2 linked regions of the Mytilus edulis genome follow. The protein of the gene in region 2 binds, or shares a complex with, the protein of the main gene of each other region. Links are inferred from orthologs where the notes say so. Each region holds a gene or a part of one and is shown on either strand. Other genes may lie near its edges.

Evidence for each region.
Region 1: glutamyl-tRNA(Gln) amidotransferase subunit A, mitochondrial-like (region 2) and glutamyl-tRNA(Gln) amidotransferase subunit C, mitochondrial-like share a complex: the UniProt entries of both Homo sapiens proteins name them as parts of the heterotrimeric GatCAB amidotransferase (AdT) complex. The link is inferred for Mytilus edulis from reciprocal best matches to the Homo sapiens genes QRSL1 and GATC.

What each region holds. Positions count from the first base shown.
Region 1 is NC_092349.1:62,496,114-62,503,984, forward strand, and holds the start of glutamyl-tRNA(Gln) amidotransferase subunit C, mitochondrial-like, read right to left. Parts: upstream 3,200-7,871; 5' UTR 3,164-3,199; coding exon 3,089-3,163; intron 1,449-3,088; coding exon 1,228-1,448; intron 630-1,227; exon of another isoform or gene 294-629; intron 1-293. UniProt on the Homo sapiens protein: Allows the formation of correctly charged Gln-tRNA(Gln) through the transamidation of misacylated Glu-tRNA(Gln) in the mitochondria. The reaction takes place in the presence of glutamine and ATP through an activated gamma-phospho-Glu-tRNA(Gln).
Region 2 is NC_092344.1:890,361-897,982, reverse strand, and holds the start of glutamyl-tRNA(Gln) amidotransferase subunit A, mitochondrial-like, read right to left. Parts: upstream 3,138-7,622; 5' UTR 3,060-3,137; coding exon 3,036-3,059; intron 1-3,035. Other genes in the region: serine/threonine-protein kinase Nek5-like, read left to right, coding at 3,288-3,395, 5,024-5,287, 6,204-6,307, 6,901-6,997. UniProt on the Homo sapiens protein: Allows the formation of correctly charged Gln-tRNA(Gln) through the transamidation of misacylated Glu-tRNA(Gln) in the mitochondria. The reaction takes place in the presence of glutamine and ATP through an activated gamma-phospho-Glu-tRNA(Gln).

The sequences.
Region 1 (7,871 bases), on a different chromosome or scaffold from region 2:
TATCTTTATCTTTATCTTATAAAGCACCGATTATTTATCTCTTGTGGGATGTGTTTCTTTCTTGACAAACCTTACTTGGGGACCTTATTTTCAATGGAAGGAAATATTTTCTATTCCTTTTTGAAAGAAAAAAGAAATTACATTTTCAAGAAAAATGGAATCAGAACAATTAATTTTTAAAGCAGCCTGTCCCAAAAGATGAATGTTTGGTCACCGTTGGTGCGTGCCTTCGTGACATTCACAGCTCCAGTCAGCACGGATATAACTTGTCACAATATTTGGTAATCCGTGAGTGAGTTAAAAAGACACTGAACATAATGTGATGATCACATCTCATTAAATTTGACAGTCAGTAAAAAAATAACCACAGAAGGCACAGATGTAAAGGAAAAGAATACCAGAAGTGTAATTAAAAATTAATAAAAAATGTAGCCACAAAAACCACAGAAAATGTATAAATATGTATTTTCATGTATATTTTTGTACATGTGTGGTCAAAAGTTACACAGGAAGTGTCTACCTTTTCATATGAATAAATTATGTATGTAGCAACGAGGCATACTAGGTTTGTAATGTAAAATTGGTGCAAATTGCAGTAAAAGGCAAAGTGTCATGTCATTATTTAAACAGTATGTATACTGACTTTATATATACATGTTTATTCAACATAAACTTTTAAAAAGTCTCTGTCAATCATATTAAGTATCAAGAGAAACATGTACATTTATGATATCTTTTTAGAATTATGGTTGATGACCCATCCAATATGGTAACCATTAGTTCTAAAATAGATACCTGACAAGAAAATTGTAATAAAAATTACAAGACACAAGATAACTTATTACTAATTTTATGCTTATACTTGAGCATATTTCAAAATAATGTTAAAAACAAAATTGATATGAATTACATTGTGTATTATCAACCACTAAAAGCAATAATTATCATGATTATATAAAGGTCCCAATTTTAGTGAATATTTATGACTATAATTTTGGAAGACGGTAGTTTAATACAAATTTTTTTTTTATGAATCACCATATACGGTAATATTTCCTAAGTTCTTTAGTCTTTTGACACTCAGATCTTAAGAGCTTCTGCTCATAATTGTTCCTTCTGAACTATTCTGGCACTCCAATCATGCTTCAATGATTCCCTATATAATCAACCAAATTTTTCACACGAAAGGGGGGGCCTGGGCCCATTCTAGCTCATTCTAAGATTTACCTGTCTTCTAATACAGATTCCATGGGTTCAATTCCATCTGTGTTAACCATATGTAATTTATTAGCTGATTCTATAGCTTTAGACAGTCTCTCAATTCCAGCCTGATTATTAAACTCAACCAAGGAAACCCTCTCTAAATGGTTTATCATCTCTTGGTCTATTTGTGGAACATTGGGAATTCTTGTGTGGTCCACCTCTTCCCATATTGGTGTCTTTGGGACCTGTAAATGAATAATAGCCCCTGGTGAAATATGAAGGTTAACATTTTTAAATATTAAAGAATGGAAATGGTAACAACAATAATTTGCAAGGAGTATAAGTTTTACAAAAAGTTTTTTCCAAACTTTTGCAACTATTCCAAAATTATAGTTTATATAACTTCATAAATATTCATTTCAGGTGAGAGAAAATAAGGTTGACTGCAATTCAGAGTTACAATTTTTGTAGTTATATGTATCATGTGTATCATTTACATTAAGTGATAATTTGAACACATAAAAAAAAACTTCTTTTTAGGAGCTATTCACTATTTCATGTTTTAGCAGGCAGAGCTGAAAATAATTTAGTAACAGAAAGAAAAGATTTATTTGAAAAATTGTTGAAGAATTAGAACAAAATTGATTATTCAGACAAACCCTTGCTTGCTTGCCCTCAAGTGGGCGCATTGTTGATCTTGATATGGAATGGTGACACGTCAGACTGACATTACTACAGCATGCATCCATCATGTAAAGATTTATTCAAAAACCTTAGTTATACTTTATATTAACACTGTTTAAATTTGCCTTATAATATTTTTTTAATGAAAGTCATGATCTCAGATTACATTTGGCATCCCCAAAAAACCCATGGTGGTTTGAGAGGATTTTTAGATGGGGTATGTGTTATGGGATTAAAGAATTTGTGAAATCTGTAAAAGTGGCGAAATTGAAAATGAACAGCACATGCTGCTACACTGCAGAGGTTACTCTAGTATTAGAGAGACTTTTGTATTAAAAATGTTCAAAATTACAGGAAAAAATATAACCACATTGTGCGATAAAAATAAAATAAATCTTAAACTTAATAATACATCTTATACGGCACTGAAATTATCTTCCTCTTTCGTAACAAATTGTAAACATGTTAAATGCAAGAAGTAATCTATTGCAATAGATTTTCATTGTACCATTTATTGTAAAAGAGTTTGTGCCAATAAAATATTGTCTATTGTCTTAATAATGGTATGAATGATGACTCTTGAGGTGGGAGAAGTGTGACATGACTGCTTCCCTTTATAGTATTGGTAGGAGATACTTAGTCAGTAGTAAGTAGTTAAGCTAAGGAATTACTTCTTTAGCTCAGTTGGTTAGAACACTGCCTTGTCGCACAGAGGGCCAAATTTTAGTCCCAGTGGAGCAAAGTAAATACTTGTGTATGTAGAATCAGATCAGTTTAGGGGTCCTTCGGCTGTTGTCTGCTCTATGGTTGGTGTGTTGTCTCTTTGACACATTTCCCATTTCCATTCTCAATTTTACATGTCTCTGGTTGAACAGGGACTTCCTATAAGAATTAGTATATGTATATAGAAAGTCCCTGGGTTGAATCATGCTATCTTCATTGATGATTTTTTTTTATTTAATGTTTGTTTTGTGTCTATATTATTATATTATCTGTTTATTCTTCCTGCCATGTTTGTTATCATTCTATCAAACCATGAAATGAATTATGCATTGTGCCCTAAAATAAATAACGTACTAGATTTTAACCTTTGTGAACATTTTACATTAACCATCTTGATTTTGTTATTTTACTACTTATTACAAGTTCAAATTAAGAATTAGAATAGAAAAGGATCAAATGACTGCATTACAATCCACACCTTGCTACAAAAGCAGTTCTTGTTTCGTGAAACTCTTTGAAAACACAGTCTGCAAGTGAGTTTTGTCAACAGCATGTTTGTTTTGGATTATTTCCCTTACTACCTATTTACACTTCCTGTTAAAAAAAAATGAACAGCATTGGCGAAGAATGCCAAGAACTAAAAGTTGCTTATGACAGTTGTTTTAACAAATGGTTTGCAGAACAATTTTTAAAGGGGAACACAAATGATCCATGTAAAGCATTGTTTGGTGTTTATCAAACTTGTGTGAAGGTAAAATGAACATAGAACGTAAAGTCTAAAGAACTTTTAATTTGTAAATACTGCATAAAATTACATCATTCTCATACTGTAATATGATTTCTTTCAAGAGACAATGAAAAAGAAAGTCGAACAATTAGGATTCAAAAGTACCAATAATTTGATCCATTCTGCTTTAATCCAAGACAAGATCATCATAATACATGAAATATTTGCCACTGGTTGTTATGGTGTCATCCTACTGCTAATCTGCTAACATTATTATACTGTTTTGTTTCATGATATTATTGATAATAGCTGGAATATGCCAACTATTAAGTATTTGGGACTAATAAAGTGGGTTTCAGGGTTTAAAAAAAGGGGGGGGGGGCAAAATAATAATAAAATAATGAGAAACTGTATGATTGCTAATGAGAAAACTGTCCAACAAAAAATGAAAGTGGATGAAAGCAATTATAGGTAAAGTATGGCCCTCAACAATGAGAAAAACCCATATCCTTTAAGTTAAGTCTGCTTTAAAAGGCCCGGACATAATATTATGAAACAATTCAATTGAGAAAACAGTGATGTACATGTTATGTAACAGCACAACAAAACAACAAACTATGTAAAATCAGTTGAAAAAGGGTTAACTCATCAGATAGATACAGAGAAAATATGGAACACAAAACAGAGAATTTTCAATAACTAGTTCTAAGGAATTACAAGTATATAGATGTGGGTTTTAAAAATGTCTATTGTTATATAGGTCCATAAACATTACACAAATGTATAAAGAATAGACTAGACCAATAATCATGATAATAATGAAGATTATAAATATCCCCAAATTAACACAATTAAGTTTATGTAATTTCAGAAAGCAATACTGGAGAAGAAACTTGATTTGGGAGAAATTGAAAAAGATGTGTTAGGAACAGACAGAGAGGAAAAGAAAACTTAAACATTTTCTGCTGTCCACTTACCAATGCTCACAACATTACAAGAACAGTGAAATAATGCAGCTGAAGGAAATCTATTGACTTTTTTATCAGTGTGAATGACCAATGACTGCTAGTGAACTTACATGACTTTTATGATTTGTTTTTTAAATATTTTTATTAAATTTTTATAAAAAAACAAAACCATGCAAACCATTTTTACAGTATTGTTATTTTTTTCAATGGTGGGGAAAGGGTTGATGTTTTAGCGGTTTTGAAAGTGATCAGGAATGAAATTCTTTCTTGTGTAAATTATCATAAGAGCATTGAGCAATACAATTCATGTACATACTAAACATTATGAATGAGGAGTTTAAAAAACATGTGATAAAAAAGTTTCTGATTACGCTGAAAGAAAAATTTATCAAACCAGGAAACTCAATATTTGAACCCTGTCAAACAACCACTACATATGGCCCAAGAACACAGTTATTTCGTAGTGCATTTTTTTTAGACAATAAATTCAAATAAAAAAATGGCACCTGCTCTCTCAAAAAGATTTTTACAGTGATGTGTACATTGGGACAAATAATATCAAAATTATAGAAACTTCTAACAGCTCTAACTCAAAATATTGACAATTCTGTGTTAAGGGGGACTTAAATTCAGTTTTGACAGCTTCAGATGTTCTAATTTTTTAACTGGACCAAATCACTACTTAATGATTCAGCACCCACATTTTTTTATGCCCCACCTACGATAGTAGAGGGGCATTATGTTTTCTGGTCTGTGCGGCCGTTCGTCCGTCCGTCTGTCCGTTCGTTCGTCCGTCTGTCCCGCTTCAGGTTAAAGTTTTTGGTCAAGGTAGTTTTTGATGAAGCTGAAGTCCAATCAACTTGAAACTTAGTACATATGTTCCTTATGATATGATCTTTCTAATTTTAAAGACAAATTAAACTTTTGACCCCTATTTCACGGTCCACTGAACATAGAAAATGAAAGTGCGAGTTTCAGGTTAAAGTTTTTGGTCAAGGTAGTTTTTGATGAAGTTGAAGTCCAATCAACTTGAAACTTAGTACAAATGTTCCCTATGATATGATCTTTCTAATTTTAATGCCTAATTATATTTTTTACCCATTTTCACGGTCCATTGAACATGGAAAATGATAGTGCGAGTGGGGCATCCATGTACTTTGGACACATTCTTGTTTAACATGTAATTTCATCCCCTTACTTAATCTTTCATGCATTAAATATCAAGAAATAAATTGGGAAAGTGTAAAACCAAAAAAATGCAAGTTATACACTTATAAACTAAGGACTATATTAGACAACGAAAACCAAAGGACAATAACTGTGTCCTTGGACCATATGTGTTAATTACATATCATTCTGTCGTGATCAAGTAGATAAATTTCTAAATTTCCGCTCATTCACAAACATTTATTTCTTACTTGTTCTTGTCCACTGAAATCATTAATCTGAATATTATTGAAGCAAGACCTTTGTTGCTGTTTCCTTAAGAAGTGTAGAAAGGAGGGATAGTCTCAGTGTTTAGGTGTATTTTTACTCACCTATGAAAAATGGTTGTTTAACTTGATACCTGCAGATGCATAAATTTACTTGTTTAAAAGTGATGAAAATAGCAGAGGCGGATTAAGGCCCTATCCCCCCTTTCTGTGAAAAATTTGATTGGTTATATAGGGAATCATTGAAGCATGACCTTAGCTGGCCCCTTATTAGGCAGTCAATGGGCCCCCACTTATGAAAATTTCGGAATCCACAACTGAATGGCATAGACTAAATGTCTAGATAGTATAAAAGTGCTATTTATTATTTTGATGTTGAGGTCACCATGTAAAGGGATAAGATCATGGTTCCTAAGAACAGTCTACAACTTGTGCAGAATTTTCGAAAGGGGGGGTGCTAACCCAGGGCACCCAGGGCAAAAGGGGGGGGGGGGGTGCAAAACATATGTCCCGATACAAATGCATTGATCGGCAAAAATATAGGGGGGGGGGTGCGCACCCCCGGAACCCCCCCCCCCCCCCCCCCCCCCCTGGATCCGCCACTGTCGGATCACAAAGTAAGTTTCTAAAAATAAATCTAAGCTTGCTTGCTTACAAATGTAATAAAGGTTCCTTACTTGTTAAAATGTTCTACTAGTCCTCACGGAAAATGCATGAAATATTTATCACTGGAATTGAGACAGCAATCGGTCAATTGTTATGAAAAACATATTTTGGAAGTTAAACAATTTTATTAAAACAAGAGGTACACCTGTCACCTGTGTATTTCCCCTGGATAAAATAAAGGGAGTATGATTGGGAAGACCCTCATATGAACAGGCAGTCATCATAAGTTGTTTTAAAATTTCTGTGTCATTTTGGGCCGTTTTCCACTTCACTATGATGGATGGCAAACTCATTCATTGCCTTATGTATGCTGATGACATTGTAATTTTATCTAACTCAGCTGAAGGACTACAAGAGAAATTAAATGAACTTCATAATTTTTGCAATGACTGGTGCTTAGATATAAATACTAAAAAAACTAAGGTGTTGATATTCAACAAGGCAGGCAGACATATCTCTCAAAAATTTATTTTCAACAAAGATGAGCTGGAGTGTGTATCTAATTATAAATATTTGGGTATCCAATTTAATGCATCATGTTCTTTTTCATATGCTCAGAATGATTTATACCAAAGAGCCTTAAAAGCATACTTCAAACTATGTAATGATTTTTTAGTGCATAATCCTACTGTTAAAAATGCAATTCATGTTTTTGACCATACAATAAAGCCTATACTTTTATATGGGTGTGAAATTTGGGGATATTTCAATCCCTTTACTGCACGTTTAAAAAAAGAAAACATAACAGTGGATACAATTTACTCAAGGATACTTTGTGAAAAACTTCATATTAAATTCTGCAAATATATTTTAGGCGTTAATAGAAAGAGTACAAACTTTGCAGTTTTGTCTGAATTAGGCCGTTTTCCACTTCACTATGATATAATAGTCAAACATGTTTTAGGATATTGGCATCGTTTAGAAAATATTGGCTCATCATTTCCCTTGTTAAAAGCTGCATATAATTGTTCTAAAAAGCTATTTGAAACAAAAAAACCCTCTTGGTATGGATCAATTAATATTTTAAGGGAAAAAATGTCGGGCATAGAAAAACATATTCTTGAAAAATACTCAACATTTAAACTACACTGTGGTCAGATAGTTAAGGGATACTATACTGCATTGTGGAAAAAACAGCTAGACAAACATAAAGATGGTAAACTACGAACTTATGTAACATTCAAGTGCAACTATGGTTTTGAAAATTATTTGTCAATAATTCGACATTTTGAGCAAAGGAAATGTATTACTAGATTAAGAATATCTGCTCACAAATTGCAAATTGAATCTGGTAGATACCAGGGTACTCTTCGACAAAACCGAATTTGTCTCAGGTGCACCTCAGGTGAGGTTGAGGATGAAGTTCATTTTTTATTTAAATGTGACACTCATTTATTAAAAAGAGAGGAAATGATGCAAAATATATTAAAATCATGTCCAAACTTTCAAAATTTGAATATTGATAAC
Region 2 (7,622 bases):
AATTGATCAGTTCAAGAGATAATTAATAACTGCAATCCCGTGATTTGCCATATTTGGCCAATTTCCATAAAAAAAAAATTCATTATGGGATAAAATTTTATTTCTTTAAGTCAAACTTATATAAGATTAAAATAATTTTTTGCTCTGCATCCTTGGTAGTGTATTTGGTTCAAACTTAGCTATATTTCGTAGTATAAAATCTTTCCTTTATTTAAAATAAGCTTTTTTTTAAGGCATGCACGCAATCACCAGACATTGGAGGAACTCTCTGAACAGGGGTTTCCCTTATTTTAGACACACATTACAAACCAGGTGCTCCGCAGGGCGCAGCTTTATACGACCGCAGAGGTCGAACCCTGAACAGTTGGGGCAAGTATGGACAAAACATTCTAGCGTGATACAGCTCTGAATTTGGATTGTGATCAAATTTTTGACATTACATGGATTTTTTTTACACAAAACAAATGTCAAGATTTTACAAATTTTACAATTAAAGATTTCTTCTTCAAACTTTTTAAATCTAAAATTAAATAGTTGACACAGAATGAATGTGGTCTAATGAACTTAAAAGTTTGTTTTTGCCTTTTAGCAATTCACTATGCTGTTGAATATTAATCCTCTCAAAAAAATGTTTGAAGAAATTTTCTTTTTATTTATGAAATCTGAAATGAGAAAAATTTACCCCCCCCCCCCCCTTTTTTCACATCCCCGTTTCCCTTTTTCCAAAACTGATATCCATTCAAATTTCTAATGGAGTTTGCAACAATAACTACTCTTTTAAATACATCATAAAATATTAAAATGTAAAATAAAGTGCTTGTTATCACTGAATGGTAAAGATTGGTTGGTAGTAAAAGTGAATATACATTGTTTATTGTATAAAACAATAAAAAAAACTTCATCAGCAACATTTTATATTGGCAAATTTCCAATGAAGTTATTTACATAAAGTTATTGGCAAATAAATATAGAAAATGACATCATAGTCATGTCTGGCAAATGTCCAACATACATTATCTAAAAACATTTTAGATAAGATAAGGAAATAAGATGTAAAAAAACTGCTTGTTATCACTGAATGGTAAAGATTATTTTAATTTATCAGTTGGTAGTAAAAAGTGAATATACATTGTATATTGTATATAACAAAGATTTAAGTTGATTCTGGACAAAGAAAGATAACTCTAATTAAAAAAAAATCTTGCTATTGCACAATATTTTGCAATTACATATTTCTTGCTTACTATTCTGGACAAAGAAAGATAACTCTAATTAAAAAAAAATTTGCTATTTCACAATATTGTGCAATTAGATATTTCTTGCCATTGCGCAATACTGTGCAATTGAAAAGACTTGCTATTGCACAATACTTAATATAATAATTTTAGATCCTGATTTGGACCAACTTGAAAACTGGGCCCATAATAAAAAATCTAAGTACATTTTTGGATTCAGCATATCAAAAAACCCCAAGATTTCAATTTTTGTTAAAATCAGACTAAGTTTAATTTTGGACCCTTTGGACTTTAGTGTAGACCAATTTGAAAACAGGACCAAAAATGAAGAATCTACATACACAGTTAGATTTGGTATATCAAAGAACCCCATTTATTCAATTTTTGATGAAATCAAACAAAGTTTAATTTTGGACCCCGATTTGGACCAACTTGAAAACTGGGCCAATAATCAAGAATCAAAGTACATTTTTAGATTCAGCATATCAAAGAACCTAACTGATTCATTTTTTGTCAAAATCAAACTAAGTTTAATTTTGGACCCTTTGGACCTTAATGTAGACCAATTTGAAAACGGGACCAAAAGTTAAGAATCTACATACACAGTCATGACAGTTAGATTCGGCATATCAAAGAACCCCAATTATTCAATTTTGATGAAATCAAACAAAGTTTAATTTTGGACCCTTTGGGCCCCTTATTCTGTTGGGACCAAAACTCCCAAAATCAATACCAACCTTCCTTTTATGGTCATAAACCTTGTGTTTAAATTTCATAGATTTCTATTTACTTATACTAATGTTATGGTGCGAAAACCAAGAAAAATGCTTATTTGGGTCCCTTTTTGGCCCCTAATTCCTAAACTGTTGGGACCTAAACTCCCAAAATCAATACCAACCTTCCTTTTGTAGTCATTAACATTGTGTTTAAATTTCATTGATTTCTATTTACTTAAACTAAAGTTATTGTGCGAAAACCAAGAATAATGCTTATTTGGGCCCTTTTTTGGCCCCTAATTCCTAATCTGTTGAAACCAAAACTCCCAAAATCAATCCCAACCGTTCTTTTGTGGTCATAAACCTTGTGTCAAAATTTCATAGATTTCTATTAACTTAAACTAAAGTTATAGTGCGAAAACCAAGAAAATGCTTATTTGGGCCCTTTTTGGCCCCTAATTCCTAAAATGTTGGGACCAAAACTCCCAAAATCAATACCAACCTTCCTTTTGTTGTCATAAACCTTGTGTTTAAATTTCATAGATTTCCATTCACTTTTACTAAAGTTAGAGTGCGAAAACTAAAAGTATTCGGACGACGACGACGACGCCAACGTGATAGCAATATACGACGAAAATTTTTTCAAATTTTGCGGTCGTATAAAAATCTAGAGGATGAAACCATTAAAACAGAAGATTTTATGAAATAAAAGTATGTTATTATATTGTTCACACAATATTATTCAATTATTGGTTTTATCAGTTGCATGAAAGTGAAGTCACAAGCACCGGATTGAACCGTACATGTATTTCATGTAACTGGACTTAAAATAAATGTTCTTATCTTATCTTTTCTTTGCAATTGCTTAACCTAGTGTCATATATTGATTAAGTTTATGTAAACAAATTATAGCTGAGATTTCACATATTTTACAGTATCTTTGATTTGTTTTGTTTTGTCTCAATATTTTTAGGTACATTGTAATTCTAGCAAGTGAGTGTGTTGAGTTGTTGAGTTGTTATGTTTTATTATATTTGAAATTTAATGTGGTCGATGACACAGCATTCTTAAACTCAAAATTAACCTCTTTTAAAGTCAATGACAGCATTTCGATTTACAAATGAAATTTATAGAGTTGTCTCCCATCTGGCTGGATGTGCCGAATGGGAGACAACTCTTTTTTCTCGTGAACCCAGAAGTAAAATTCAGTGACCCATAAAATCTGTATTAGAGTTTCGTTTGTTTAATTTTGACAGTAAATCTAACAATATCCAGAGGGCTGCAATTCAGATGTAGATGTTATAATTCTTAGTCATTGTAAACTAAAGTTATTAGAATGGCCGCAGCGGCAAGTCCGATAGAGTTTGAGCTGGAAAAGACTCTTGGAGAAGGGGCTTTTGGGAAAGTATTTTTATGTTGTGACAAAACAGATAAAACACGAAAGGTACATTATTTTACATATTTTTCTTGTATTCTAATTAGATAATTTGTTTAACAGGTTGTAGTTTCAGTAGTTATATTTCAAGTTGTCTACCTACTTTCTTTTTCACACACAAATGCTCTGGGAACAAAAGTGAAAGTAGACATACTGGACATTATGATGAAATGTCCAATGTTGGCTTACATGTTATTCTCTATATGGTATTCATCTACAAAAGAACAGGAGAAGGAATTTTACCATTGACCTGTAGTGAATTTGGAGAGTGGTGACAACTGATATGATGAGGGGGGATAGGACCTTTATCGGGACTCCAGGATCGGGTGTTTTTAAGCTCAGGATTACAGGATTGACCCTTTTCGGGATCCTGGAATTCTTTTTTTCGAATTTCGGGACCTCAGGATTATGTGTTTTTAAGCCCAGGATCTCGGGACTTTGTGTTTTTAAGCCCAGGATTTCGGGATCAGGACCCCTTCTACCCCCCCTAATATGATTGTGTCAGAATAAAGTCATGGTTTTTAGGTAGTGCAGCACTCTGTATCTGTATTTCCTACTTCTGTAATATGGATGGATACGTCACAGATTCCTTTTGGCTATTGTGTGACGGGTTGGTCTGTGTGTAAATTAGTCGCGCTTGCTGAGGAGTACTGATTTAAACTCCTGGCGAGTCCTCCAGATGGTTCCAATCTACTGCAGTGCGCTCAAATATGGAGTTTTTGAACCGGTTGGTTTTACTTTTAGGAACTATGACTGCACCTTTGTTGCTACGGAATTGTTGGTCTATAATGTTCTTAGTTACAAAATTGTTATATGTTGTCGCTCTTATTTGTCGTTTGGGTCTATGGAATATTATAAGATCGTCAGGTGGAAGCGCTGGTATCTTCCCCTCAACCACTTTAAAGAAGAATATCAGTCGTTTTTTTGTCATCTTGACTGTAGCGACAGAAGCTGAAGTTCTGATAGCATTTTTGTCATACATCCTTCATCCCTTGATTTGTAGTCTTTGGTGATAAATCTAGCCCCTCTTTTTTTATGGATTCTAATTTGTCGATGTCTTTCTAGTTATATTGGTCCCAAAAAGTTGATCTGTACTCCATAATGGATCTCACGAGTGCTATATATGCTGTTTTACAGCATTCCCTAGGGCAGTGTTGTAGGTTTCTCTTAAGGAAGCCTAGCATGGAAGTGGCTTTTTTACATGCGTTTGTTTATTGTTCCTTCCATTTTAGGGTGCCACATGTGGAGTAGGATCTGCTTACCTTTCTCCATTTTGTGGTTTATCCATGGCAGTCTGTTGTTTGACTTGACTTTTTTAGATGATATGTTTTTGTTAAGGCTGGCAAATAGGTGTTTCTTAAATGTCAACCAAGCTTCCTTGACATTTTGATTGTTTTGGATATCATTCCTTATTTGTGTTGTCAGTAAATTTATATCTTTATTCAGGTCATACCGGTCGGCTCTTGCCCGCCCAGGTGTAAACTTTTCGAGGGTTAGATTTTGAGTAGTACGGTTTGATGTATGATTGCACAACCTCATTTATGTGAAACCTCTACCCTTAGTATCAAGACCTCTGACAGAAAGAATGATGTTGTGGTTCCTACATACGTAATAAAACTTCTTTTTTTACATTTCAGTATGCTATGAAAGTAATTGATTTGAGTAAGTCCCCTCAAGAGGAGAGAGAAGCTGCTGAAAGAGAGGCTAGATTGTTGTCAGATTTTAAACATGATAATATCATAGCTTATATAGATTCATTCCAAGAAAAGGGTGCTTTGTGTATAGTTACTGAATTTTGTGACGGAGGAGATTTGTCAGAATACATTGAAAAACGAAGTGGAAGGCCATTTAATGAAGATCAAATTGTAAATTGGTTCAGACAGATATGTAGTGGCTTACAGGTAAGCATTGACTTCTTCAAGGAGAATGTGTTTGAAATTTTGGTTCAAATTTTCTAGTTGCAAAAAGAAACAGTGAATCATAATAAAATAAATATAAAAAATACAAGCAGATACTCATTCTTTTGTAACTGATGGCCAGTGATGGGTTGTTGTCTCATTGCCAATCATAACAAATCTCATTATTTTTATGCCCCACCTACGATAGTAGAGGGGCATTATGTTTTCTAGTCTATGCCTCTGTTCGTTCGTCCGTTCATTCGTCCAACTTCAGGTTAAAGTTTTTGGTCAAGGTAGTTTTTGATGAAGTTAAAGTCGCAACTACTTGAAACTTAGTACACATGTTCCCTATGATATGATCTTTCTAATTTTAATTCCAAATTAAAGTTTTGACCCCAATTTCACGATCCACTGAACATGGAAAATTATAGTGCGAGTGGGGCATCCGTGTACTATGGACAAATTATTTTTGTATATAATTGCCACATTGATTGATAGTTTTTACCATACATTAATGTATATTGTGGATTCATTTATTTTTGTCTGTATCAATTTTCAAAGCCTGTAAAAAATTTGTTTTTCTTGAACATTTGAATTGGTGGTTCACCTGTACCTATGAATCCCATGGGTGTCCAACAATTTATAATGAATCCACATTATCCTATGTACCTTTTTTGTTTATTTGTACAAACAGAGATAAACAGCACTTGATCCATGATAGCTGACTTGGTACACCCATGTCATATATGCTGGGATTAAACCAGTTTTTAATACCGTCTTACCTTCTCTTTGACAATCTAAAACATTTTTTGTAATGCTTTCACCAGAAAAAATGGTCAAAATGCACATATAATGTTCAACACAAGTTTATGACAAATTTGCAACAAATCACGAAATTTTGGTGTTGTTTGTATTTCAGTATCTACATGCTAGAAATTGTTTACATAGAGATATAAAGACACAGAATGTTTTCCTGACAGGGCCAAAGAAAACTGCAAAGTTAGGCGATTTAGGATTAGCAAAGTATGTTGTTTAATGTTATATACATATGACAAGTTTATATTTTAAAAAATATATTGTGCTGTGTAATGCAATGAAAATGAAATGATGATAGCTGCATGATAATGATACATCACGAATACTCTGGAAGGTAATTAAAAACAATAAAAAAGAAATGGCATTTTCAATTCCACATACCTCAATTATAAACAAATTTAAGAAAAAAAGTCAAACATAAACTTAGTTGAGTTTGATAGGGTCAAGCACATCTATATCATTATAAACAAGGTAACAACTTAAACCAAAGAGAAGACAACATTTGATGACTTCAATGCACTTTTTGGTAAGATGATTGGTTTATTGATTCTTGGTTGATAAATGTCCAGTTGCAAATATTTCATGCATGTTCAGGAAGATTTATTGATTGCAGCAGCAATATATAGTAGATAACAACAAATGGAAGTTTTTAACGACCTTGACTGGCTATACAGCCCTTGCACGGTCGGTATAGTAGATACGCCAATATCATCCATTTATATAGAAAGACCTAATGCTAAAACTGTTACATTTTGTGAAAATCTTTATTCTATCTAATTACATACTTTGTTTCTTCACAGAGTCTTAGAAAGACCTAATGCTAAAGCTGTTACATTTTGTGGAAGTCCTTACTATATGTCACCAGAAATATTTGCTTGTAAACCTTACGATTCAAAGGTAAGGTTTTGTGTTTTAGAATGACATTAAAATCTAGTTAACATGATGCCATATTTGTGAGAAAAAAAACATTCAAAACCAGCACATGAAAAATATTAAATCTTAAACAGTAGAATAATTTTCTTCTTCCTTTAAATAATCTTTATCAAAAGCATGGTTAGTGGAAGTATAAAGAAAAATAATCGTACACAAATTACGTAAATGTCTCTTATATCAGTAATGGATCAGAAACAGATAAATAAAGAAACAGCCAACAAGTACTGCTTTACCTTGTTTAAACCACTATAGCTACCATGTCTATTTGTTTTCCAGAGTGACATTTGGGCAATGGGTGTATATATATATGAAATGTCAACATGTATTGTTTAAACTGCTATAACTGCCTAGCCTATTTGTTTTCCATAGTGACATTTGGGCAATGGGTGTAGTTATATGGGCACAGGACGTTTGCGCTCTTTTACCTGTAAAACGATAGGACATTTGCGCTTCCAATACTATGGACATTTGTGCTTTTAATTTTGATTCACCTGTATTAATTTGACCGGACATATGCGCTTTTTACCTATAGTCATCTACCTGTAATTTTAATGAGAAGTAATCATCACGTTAATAAATTTAACTTATA